Linked DNA regions of Pelodiscus sinensis. The protein of the gene in region 1 binds, or shares a complex with, the protein of each later gene. Links are inferred from orthologs where the notes say so. Each region holds a gene or a part of one and is shown on either strand. Other genes may lie near its edges.

Region 1 (3,747 bases):
CCAGGTGGGGGGTGTCCTGGGGGGGGTCAGGCAGGTCCTAGGTGGGGGGGTGTCCCTGGGGGGGGGTCAGGCAGGTCCCAGTGGGGGGGTGTCCCTGGGGGGGGTCAGGCAGGTCCTAGGTGGGGGGGGGGGTGTCCCGGGGGGGGTGTCAGGCAGGTCCCAGGTGGGGGGGGTGTCCCGTGGGGGAGGGTCAGGCAGGTCCCAGGTGGGGGGTGTGTCCCGTGGGGGAGGGTCAGGCAGGTCCCAGGTGGGGGGTGTGTCCCGTGGGGGAGGGTCAGGCAGGTCCCAGGTGGGGGGGGTGTCCCCGTGGGGGAGGGTCAGGCAGGTCCCAGGTGGGGGGGTGTGTCCCTGTGGGGGGGGGAAATCAGGCAGGTCCCAGTGGGGGGGGGGGTCAGGCAGGTCCTAGGTGAGGGGGTGTCTTTGGGGGGAATCAGGTTTTGGGGGGTGGGGTGTCCCTGTGTGGGGGATCAGGCAGGTCCCAGGTGGGGGGGTGTCCCCGTGGGGGAGGGTCAGGCAGGTCCTAGGTGGGAGGCGGGTGTCTCTGTGGGGGGTGCAGGAGTCCCCATGGGAGGTGTTGGGCCAGGTCTCTGCTGGGGAGGGCAGGTGATTCCATGGGATAGGTCAGGTCAGGCCCAAGCTGGAGGGAAGGAGGTTGGATCTCCCCTGCCCTGGGCCCAGGCCTGAAAATCCTGCCCTGCGCTTGCCCATTTGCACGGAGAGAAAGGGCACGCTGAGCGCTGGGCTTCGTACTCTGCGCGACCCCGGAGGAAATGAACTGACCCTAGAGCTCTGCAGAGCTGAACTTGATTCCCGGCTCCTCCTGAGTGGGAAGATCGCAGCTGGTGCCGTGGGGATGTGTTGATTTCTGTTCATTATACTGATGTGGGGTGCTTCCTCCCTCACCTGCAGGAGAGCCGAGGAGCGAGTGAAGCTACAGCTATGAACGCCATCGTCGCCCTCTGTCATTTCTGTGAGCTCCATGGCCCTCGCACCCTCTTCTGTACAGAGGTGCTGCATTCGCCGCTTCCGCAAGGCGCAGGGAATGGAGACAGCCCTGGGCAGAGCGAGCAAGCAGAAGATGAAGAAGGTGGCATTCAGATGAGCAGTAGGATCCGCTCACACAGCCCAGCAGAAGGTGCTAGTGCTGACTCCAGTAGCCCAGGGCCGAAGAAGTCAGATATGTGTGAGGTGTGTATATGAGCACCCTGTGTCCTTTGCTGAATGAATGGGCCATGGCTTCTCAATGAAGGGCGTGTTATTATTTGGGGCACGGAAAATGGCTTATACTTGCACGGAATCTCGAAACCCTAATAAACTATAGACTAGGGGGCTGTGCCCCCTGCTTGCATCTCTCTCCAAATCCCCTCTCGGCAGGGGAGGGCCCAGCCCAGCTGCCGGTGCCCCGGCTCTTTGTCACCCTGGCTCTTTGTCGCCCCTCCTATCCTGCCCCAGGCTCTTTGTCGCCTCTCCTACCCCAACCTGCCCTGGCCCTTTCTCCCCACCGCCACTAGACAGGGCCAGGCCATGGTGCACTAGCACCAGCTCTCCCCCAGCAGCTGGGGGGTCCGGGCCAAGGCGTGCGCAGAGGCTCGTGGCTTCCACCCCCCCATCCAGAGCACGGAAAGGAGGCTGGAGCGATGACCGCCCCAGCCTCACACTTACTTGGACCGCCATGGGGAAGTGCCTTCATAAACTCCACGTATGGGCCTGGAGGGGCTGCAGCCGATAGGGCTGCGGGCGAAGAGGCCGGTCAGTAGGGAAGCCTGCCATGAGAGCTGGTAGTGTGGCAAGAGGCTGTTTCCGGGGTGTGTTCTGGGTTGCAGTTGGGCGCGTGGCAACGCAGAGTGACGTGATGACTTCACTCTGTCATCCCACAGGAAAAAAATGTTTATCTATCTATCTATCTATCTATCTATCTATCTATCTATCTATCTAGAGAGAGAGAGAGAGAGAGAGAGAGAGAGAGAGAGAGAGAGAGAGAGAGAGAGAGAGAGAGAAATTGCTTTGCCATAGTGAACGCACAGCAACACTTACAGAAAAGTATAACGCAGGAAATGGAAACAAATTCTGTAGCCAGTTAAATGTATTTGCCCACGTTTTTGTGTGTGTCCATCCGTACCCCTTGGTGCTCTTCCACTTAACGTTAGTACCCTCTCTAATAATCCATTCCTAGTGTGCTTCGTGTCTCTCTAGTGGGGACAGATTTCAATATGTCAGTGGGTTCGCAGTTGCTTTACCACTAGCTGAATTTGGCCAGTTGCATAGCCCCTGTCAAATACAAAATCCAGTGAGGAAGTGAGTTGTGAAAGAGGCTGTAAGAGTGAAAGGATGGTTAGGAGGTGGGAGAATGGATCAAGTCCCTACTGCGCCGCAGACTTCCTGATCTAGAGTGAATCACTCTGCCTCTTGGTGCCTCAGTTCCCCGTTGTAAATACTTTCCTACCTCACTGGGTCTTGTGAGGATACTTATGCTGAAGATTGTTAGTCAGTCAGGTGCTGTGATAACGGGGCCTACATATAAGTATATTAAATAGTTGTCTCTTACTTTACTGTAAGATTTTTCTTTTCTTTCGGTGGCCAGGGTTGCCGCTCTCTTGCAGCAGGACACCCTGGATATGTCAGCCATGACAAAGAGACATTGATCAAATATGTCAGCCACCAGCACCCAAACCATCCGCAGCTGTTTAGCATTGTGCGTCAGGCTTGTGTCCGCAGCCTGAGTTGTGAGGTAAGTGATATGAAATTCAGCAAGAAAAATCTGTGCTGTTTCTAATCTAAAACTCAGCTTCACTGATATCGGCCTCCTCCACGGCTTGTAACTTGGAAGGGGTTGGAAATGGAATGCATGGCCAGAGGACCCTGGGTCTCAGTATTTGGCAGGAATTTTTTAAAGATGACTGCAAAGGACAAAAAATACCGGACTCTGCTCTTTGATGCATAAAGAAGGCATTTATATAAAATGTCCGTCTTTTCAGAGCGATGACGAGTTAATTTTGAACTTGCGTTATCTGATCACTTGGAATGCTATCTTGCGTGATTTAGCATACAAGGTAACTAATCTGTTCCACCTAGCTGTGCCTCTCTGAATACATTCCCAGACCTGCAGTAGAGCTATGTGTAGTCCAAAGGCGTGTCTCTCACCAACGTGTCCAGTAGATGAGATTACTTCACCCACCTTGTCCCCCTCTCATTTGATCTGTTACTGAAGAGAACCGGTGTTCACTTTGGGGGTCTACTCTACACCTGAAGCAAAGGCATTTGTATCTCAAGGCTGTGTGTTTGCTTTCTTGCTTTTGTCCCTATTTGTTTAACGTATTTATTTCCAAAATAAGCCTCCTTGCAGGCTGTTGCTCCTGATAAATGCTGTTTCTTACCTGGTGGACTGATAACTTACAGCCTTTACAAAAGGAGGGAAAACCTCACAGAAGTTGAGATTGCCCCAGCTCATGTACCCACTTCATCAGCTTTGCTGCTCCAGAATACAGCCGTGTTCTGAAGTGCCAGTTACCCTGAAGGTTGTGCCAGGTACATGGGGCAGCAGCAGAGATGTCTGGCTCTGCCTGTCAGGCTTTTATCTGTTGGGTGATGCTTCTGCCTGTGCCTCAGCAGGCAACACCCGAAGGAGTGGGAAAGCTCCTTTTGAGGGCTATGTCTAGACTGCAGACTTTTTTCGAAAGAGGCTCTTTCGAAAGATCGTGTCTAGACTGCAGGCGGATCTTTCGATAGAGGAAATCCGCTTTTTCGAAA
Region 2 (3,747 bases), on another chromosome or scaffold:
TATAAAACTTAATCTGAATATGTCCACTAACAGATTCATCATATAAAAATATCTTAAATGTACTAGCAGGGAGGTAATTTTAAATATATGCATCCTGTCCTGGCACACAGTGTTCTGTATTAAAGAAAGGGGAGGAGGAAGACCTCAGAAGATGATATAGTAATATTTTCTTCCTTACAACACACAATCCTAAATATCCCTAGTGTATGGAACACAGCTGTTGAGTTGTACACTAAATCCTCAGTAGAAGTTTATCATTAAGAAGTGTCTGGACAGCATAAAAATCAGGTAAAATATAATTGGCTCTCTCTCTCTCTCTCTGTTAAAGAAGAAATTTTGGCCCACCCAGTATGTCAGTAAAATAAAATAAATTACTCAGCTGGAAAATGAAATGGAGGTGTTTGGGAAGCTATAAACCAATTTTGCTACAGGTGTATTCCAACATTTATGGCACTGGATTCTAGGTTATTTCATAAAAACATGGAAGATCAATCAGTATGCTGTGAAAATGGTTTTCTTGAGAGAATAAATGGGTATGTTTAGTATTTACCATCCCCGATGTTTGCAGTGACTGGGTCTCAGGAACTACAGAAAGATGGTACTGTAATCCAGTACAGATCCAGAGGGCAGCCCTCAGGTCTACATGTTACCCATCACATTGTGTAATGTAACTTACAAAGATATTTAAAATATTAAATGGAGAGCTGTTCCAAGCAGTCAATTTAAAATGTAAATATTCACACCCCGCAATTCACACCAACAAATGCAAAGTGTTATTTACATGTCAGTTACAAAGTCATGATAGTGGTTTAAATTAATAGTTTGCAACTAGACCAGATTTTTCTACACAAATCTACTAGATGGTTATTGCTCTGTCTATCCATTACTACTGTTATTTTATAGACCCTAAAATACCTTTGGCTAGATCAACCTTTAATCTTATTTTTAGAATTTTGATAAGTTACAATAGGGACAAACTGCCAAAAGTGTAGTTCTGGTCCTGATTTTTAACTTTACACTGGAGTCCTCATAAAAAACTGCAAATTCAAGTCCTTATACCACACAGGTGTCCCTGGATCTCTAGGGATCTGCTTTCTCCAGACAACAAAAAACCATATTCTGTTAGCATTTTAGAAATACAGGGAATTACACATACAATCAGCTTAAATTGAAACGTTTAATGTTAAGAGATAAAGGTGGCGAAGCATTTGTAAGGAGGGTGCAAGCATTTTTCTTGCAGTCTTGTGTTTGGAAGCTTAGTGGATTCAGTTTTGTTGTGGTTAGATCATGACAGATTTTAAGAGTAACCTTACACTTCTGTTGGCAGCCTGCATTTCATATTTGCTCTTCCCTCTTAGTATTTATTAAGGTGGCTCTTTCCAGATAGCAACCACCTCGCCACTTCAAGAAAGTCAAAAGAATGGCGTCTTTTTTAGGGGGCTTGTTAAATCTGCAGCCTCAAAAGTGCGTCAAAACATCAAAGGCAATAAAATAAAATAAAATAAAGTTAACAAAGGAATTGGAGGACGGGGAAAGGGAAGCGAGAAATCCCAACCCACGCCAAAAGGAAGAGTCACAACCTAATCAGAGGAAGCAACCCATCTTGGGAAGCGCTAAGAGGCTACTTCTGCTTTGCAACTTTTTTACAAAGAAGGACGGCAATGAAAATAAGACTTGTTGCAGAGCGAAGGGCTCGGGGGGCCGGGATCCCCAAGGGGTTGCGTTGGAGGAGAATAGACGGAGGGCACCTTTAGGAAACACTCGGGAGAAACAATGTTGCATGCGTCCCAGTGCATTGCAAAAAGCGCATCAGGGATTTCCGTCCAGCTTCTTGTGTAGCGGGAGGAACCCAGGCCAAGAAGCCTCTCCACTCCCAGGGCTCTCCCGGGAAAGGGGCTGGGAAGAAGGGAAAGGAGGCAACACACCAAATGTGTGTGTCAAACGGGGGAGGGGAGGATTGCAGGGGGCCAGCTCAGTCAGTGTATCCAATCCTGCACACCAGAGCCCTCCAGACAGAGCGCAAAATCACCCCCCCCCCCCGATCCTCTCTTCTCTGGCCTCTTCCATAGCAGGGGCGAGGAGTAGTTTGCATCAGGCAAACAGGCTAGAAAGTAACGAACTGGTCCAAGTTTGTGAGCACGGGCGAGAGAGAGGGAAGGGCTGCCCAGGGCTCCCCCCGCGTTACCTGAAGACACACTCCTCCCTGGAGTCCCTGGCAGGAGAACTCAGCCCGGGCTTCTTGTTGAAGAGCTTCTGGAACAAGGTGGGTGGCATTTTGGGGCGCGCTGCTCCCCGCTGCCCCCCAGCCTCCTTCTCTCCCCGCTGCACCCAGCGGAGGCGCTGGGGCTGGAGCAGCGAACTCCTCCGGCAGGCAGCTAGTTCCGCGAACCCGACTCCATTTGGTGTCACAGTCATATGACAAAAATTAGTCACTTGGAGCTGCCAGAAGAGGAGGATCGCAGGGAGGCGGGCCCGGGAGGGGTTTCTCCGGGGCCGTGCACCGCTGAGTGGCTGAGGCCCCAGCACCACGTGGGGGGCTTTTCTGCTCAAGCAGGCCCGCTAGGTTTTGGTGGGGCCGGGGGAAAACTGGACAGATCCAGCTATTTTTTGGCCGCAGCAGCAACCCCCTCCCATTCCACTGTTAAATGGAGAACAAATCGAAGCTCTCCTAGGATACCGAATCTAACGCCGGGGCTGCCAGGATCCCATTGCAACAGCCTTGCTCCTGCACGTAGCTCCTGTTTGATCCAACTAGGATTCCCCTGATCCGCCCACAAAAATACAGAACGAGTGTGCAGAGACCTCCCTCTCTCAGCAAAGCCCCCATAGGGCCCGGTGCACCTCAGAGCAAATGGTTTAAACCGCTAGGACAGGGTACAGGCGGCCGGACGGATCTGAATTTTTGCTCCTCGGGGGGAAACAGTCTCTGCCTAAATAGAGAATAGACTCCAGATGCAACAGTCGAACCTCATGGGCCCCAGCTCAGCAAGGAGGCAAAAAACTGGGATCTAGTGTCTGATCTGGTAACTCAGAAATTGTTTCGGCATCTTAGGAAACATTTCCATTTTCCAGTATGGTCTGGATTATTCTGGTAGAAACTGTATCTGACGGTACTGCATTAATTGGTAAAACTGGGGAGGAGGGGCCGAAGTCACAAATAGCTAAATGTAGTGGGATGCAGGTGAGTCTTTACAGCTTTCTTCTACCAGGATTTACTAGAGGCCAGAATTTCTTCCTCGAGTGCTAGAAGTGCCACTTGTTCTCTATTTTGATGGGACAATTCCTGAGTTCTCAGGTGCAACGAGAGTGGCAAAAGAGGATTTCTGTTTAGGCAGTGGAATCTGTGGAGAGCTAGACCCTGGCAGAATCCAGGTGCCAAATTGACCTATTTCCAGCATTGCTGGATCCTGCTGCATTAGGGATCAGGTGTTTTTTGGTGTAAGAAGAGCATTCAGCTGTTCTCTCTTCATATGGCAGAATTAGAGTGGTTAGAGCCAGAGACTGGCCAGATTTAGCAGAATTTAGGTGCTGAATCCAAAATATGTGTGTGTGTGTGTGTATATATAGACAATGGGAATTGAAGACTCTGGTATAAAAAATAGGAGGCTCCCCCCCACTGATCCAGCTTTTTACTTTCTTTCCTTCATAAAGAGTTGCCAGTTACAGATTTAAGAGACTGTGCCACAGTGCAGTATCTGAATGAAAGCAAAAGTGACTCACGTGGGCGGTTCAGACTATACAATACCC
Region 3 (3,747 bases), on another chromosome or scaffold:
CAAATCCAACGGTCTCTTTTGCATACATGCACAGCAAGAGATTCGCCACCCGAGTGATAGCAACACGACCCTCCTGCAGTTGGCGGGGGGGGGGGGGGAGGGGTGGAAGAGGGAGAGAAGGGGAGGCCGGCAGAAGGGAAGAAGAAAAAAAAAAAAAAAAAAAAAGAGGATTTGAAGGATAGGTTTCCACTCTAGAACCCCCATGTCCCGGACATTTTAACCTTCTGCTCTTACAGTCAGACACTGGGGATCCAAATCTCCACTGGGAAGGCACTGTGGTGCAGTCTGCTGGGAATTCAAGAGACCTGGATTCTCTTTCCAGTTTTGGCACTGGCTAACCTTGGAAAGTCACCTCATTTCTTTCCCATTTGTAAGACTGGAGACGACCCTCCTTTGTGAATTGCTTAGAAACCTACTGATGATAGATTCCTGTGACACCTTAAGACTGATTTATAAGGGAATAAGTTTTTGTGGGCAAAAACCTGCTTCGTCAGGTGCATGGAATGGAAATTGTACAGTATGTTAATGCTTGCCTCTGTAACTTCCACTCCATGCACCTGACGAAGCAGGTTTTTGCCCACAAAAACTTATGCCCAAATAAATCTGTCTTTAAGGTGTCAATGGATTCTTTGTTGTTTTTGTGGATACACACTAACACAACTACCCCTGAGACTTGATGATAGAATGCTGCTTCAGAGCAAGGTATTATGTTCTTACTGCCCTGCACAAGGTGATCAAACAAATTGACCAACATTATCCCATCAGATTGTCCCATCACACTTGAAAGCCTAGGTCATTCTTAAAGAGCAAGGCATTTGCTCTGAAATAAGATCTTTCAGCCGCATGTGTGCGAGGGAGAAGGAAGAATGGCAACCTGCTTCAAGTTTTGGCTTTGGATAACTTGTGTTGCTATGGCATCTAAGTACTTAATCTGAACTTCAGCCTTACCCCACGGTGCAGCTATTATCCTCGTTTTATACATGGGGAAACTGAGGCAGAAAAGAGGCAGTTAACCTATATCAGTCCATGGAAGAGCGGAGAACAGGCATCTGGAGTCCTGTGATCCAATTCCACATCTGTTTCAGGGATCTATGGGTTAAACTGATAAGAGCGGAGACATGTAGCAGCATTCTACTGCTGAAAAACTGAGCCTTTCCTGTAGGAATGAATCCCTGCCCCATCCCTGCACCTCACAACGTACCATGCAGTCCATAAGGATGAATTTCAGGTTGTCCTCATTGAAAGCCTGGTGACCGTTCTTGTCATAGGCCACCCAAATGTTACTGGCGATGGCCGCCGTGACCCTGGCATCTGTGTCTCCATAACCAGAATACGCAAGTAGAGATCCCTCATTGTTCAGAAGTCTACAAAGGACAGAGGGGGAGAATTTGAGCCAAGAGCCCACAGGGTTTTGTGCCACTTCTGCTTAGGCACGGACTTCACTCATAGGGGTTTCTATGGTGCTCATCACCTTAGTATCTGATCAGACAGAACACACACGGAATCTCGTGACATCCCCTCTGAGGCATGTCTCACCCTCATTTTAGAGAGGGTATCCAAGGCGAAGTGATAAGACCAAGGGCAGATAAGGCAGTGGCAGAGCTTTACTTTACACACCCCAAACCATCCTTCCTCTCTAGCAGGGGTGCTCTTTTTCCATGGGTGCAGCAGCTCCTAGGAAGAGAGGGCTGTGGGGGAATGGACCTCCCAAATTTTTTATTTTACTGTCTTGTGGATACTGCTCTGGATACAGCCTCAGCCTGAGAGTGCGCACGGGCTAAGTCTACACTGGCACTTTACTTTTTGGCTCAGGGGTGCCCCCCCGCAACCCCTGAGCGCAGTAAGTTACAGCACAGTGCCAGTGTGAACCAGACTACAGTGCTGGGAGCACAACTCCTGGCACAGCCTCAACGTTTGTATCCACATCTGCATTTGTAAGAGTGATCTGTGGATTTGCAGGCGATACAGATGCAACTGTTCCCCGCCCCCATTTCTTTGCCTTCATGTGGCTACCCACATGCAGACCCAGCACAGAGAAGATCTACGCAAGAAAAACAGACTACCTGCATGCAACAACACCAAAGTGTACTTCACTGACATACCTCTCCCCAGGGCTTCAGCAGGGAAAATATTAGTAATCTGCTCTCCAAGTTCCCATCCCCTGTCCCCCACAATGCCTTCTGGAGGAAGTCCTGGCCAGACCCTTTTACCCCTATCAATGTGCCCTCTAATTTTTTCCACCCATATGGAAAATAAAATTTATGTGCAAATGTGCACCACCAGCAGAAATAGGTTACTGGCTGTGGGCACTGCAAGTGTTCTGCTAATCAGCTGGGCAGCATTTGAATCTCTCCTAGGTGACTGTCCAAGGCAAGCACTCAGCTTACAGGGAATGCTGACCCCCCCCCCCCCCCATCCACATCTAATGCCTCTGAGGAGGGACTACTCCTTATTAGGGTGCACTGGGCTGCTTCTTCCTCCCCACTTTTCAGAAAAGGAATTGTACAACACAACTGAAGCTGGGTGGGGGGCCACCAAGATGTCTCTGTTCCTACCGGGGCATGAAGTGGGAGATGTAGGGAGAGGGGAAGACCCTTTGGAGGAGGGGGCACTAATCCTTAATGGGACCACTGATCTGGTCACAATACTTCAGGGACAGGGTTCCCTGATCCATACCCAGCCATGCCCACTCCTCTCCCCCACCACTCCCTTTATACTCACAGGGTGCTCTGGACCCCTCCAGTGTTGGCTTGGCTCAAGACCTGGGTTAGGGCCTTCGGGCGCAGCATGGTAGCAACAGATCCTTTTTCCTCCCTGCAGTGGTGGAAACACACACAGCTCAGAGAGCCTGCTTCCCCATCAGCTGATCAACCCGTGCAGGGCGACTTCAGCCCACAGCAGGCTGGGAGTTGTAGTTCTTTTCCAGTTCTGTTGCATAGACAGGGCATTTCATGCACACAGATTGCAGGGCAATTTCTCTTTGTGGGTGACTAGCATACCGCTGGTGCTACACACCAAACGACCCCAGTCCTTAGCAGTTCACACAACTACTGTGATCTCCTGTAATCACACCACAGGAAACATACCATTTACCTTCATACAAGCTACAGACAACTCACACATTTTGGGTCTTTTTAACATCCCCAGCTGCTGGAGTCAGTTGAACCTCAGCTTTCATGAAAACAAAGTTTCTAAACTTCACGATTGCCATGTTGCAAATGCCAAGCATGTAGAAAGGGAAGAGATAGAAAGAGACCCACGGGTCAGCCCCCTAGAACAATTTTGTGTTCTTTTTATTTGCTTGCTGGATTTCGAGCCTTTAGGAATATGTAGGTCACATTTACAAGATTTTTTTCCCCCGCAAAAAACCCATCAGCTCCATATCTATCTGACTTCTATAGGACTTCAGGTGTTCATGCTGGAAATCAGACACCAAATATGAGGAGGCTGGTGATTCAAAACAAAACCACCAACCTACTGTCTGGGGACATTGCAGTTGTAGAGGAAAAACTGATAAGCATGACATCTAAAGACTCAGGAAAAAAAAGCAAATACATGTTATTTTTGGAAGATCTTGTCATTTTTAAGCCAATCTCATGGCTTCTGGCAGACCTGACCCAGGAGTTTGATAATTTGGGCAGGGATGACACTGCAGCCCTATCAGTGTCATTTTCCCTATTGCTGGTCCCATCTGTTTATAAAATTCTCTACTACCCCAGGTACCCCCAATCCCTGTGGGGGCAGTAG

What was found.
Region 2: FLCN (region 1) and FNIP1 share a complex: the UniProt entries of both Homo sapiens proteins name them as parts of the lysosomal folliculin complex. The link is inferred for Pelodiscus sinensis from reciprocal best matches to the Homo sapiens genes FLCN and FNIP1.
Region 3: FLCN (region 1) and LAMTOR2 share a complex: the UniProt entries of both Homo sapiens proteins name them as parts of the lysosomal folliculin complex. The link is inferred for Pelodiscus sinensis from reciprocal best matches to the Homo sapiens genes FLCN and LAMTOR2.

The regions. Positions count from the first base shown.
Region 1 is NC_134726.1:33,890,947-33,894,693, forward strand, and holds the start of FLCN (folliculin), read left to right. Parts: upstream 1-939; coding exon 940-1,188; intron 1,189-2,581; coding exon 2,582-2,728; intron 2,729-3,747. UniProt on the Homo sapiens protein: Multi-functional protein, involved in both the cellular response to amino acid availability and in the regulation of glycolysis.
Region 2 is NC_134727.1:26,107,994-26,111,740, reverse strand, and holds the start of FNIP1 (folliculin-interacting protein 1), read right to left. Parts: upstream 2,438-3,747; 5' UTR 2,416-2,437; coding exon 2,186-2,415; intron 1-2,185. UniProt on the Homo sapiens protein: Binding partner of the GTPase-activating protein FLCN: involved in the cellular response to amino acid availability by regulating the non-canonical mTORC1 signaling cascade controlling the MiT/TFE factors TFEB and TFE3.
Region 3 is NC_134734.1:16,810,872-16,814,618, forward strand, and holds the start of LAMTOR2 (ragulator complex protein LAMTOR2), read right to left. Parts: upstream 2,882-3,747; 5' UTR 2,790-2,881; coding exon 2,722-2,789; intron 1,365-2,721; coding exon 1,202-1,364; intron 74-1,201; coding exon 1-73. UniProt on the Homo sapiens protein: As part of the Ragulator complex it is involved in amino acid sensing and activation of mTORC1, a signaling complex promoting cell growth in response to growth factors, energy levels, and amino acids.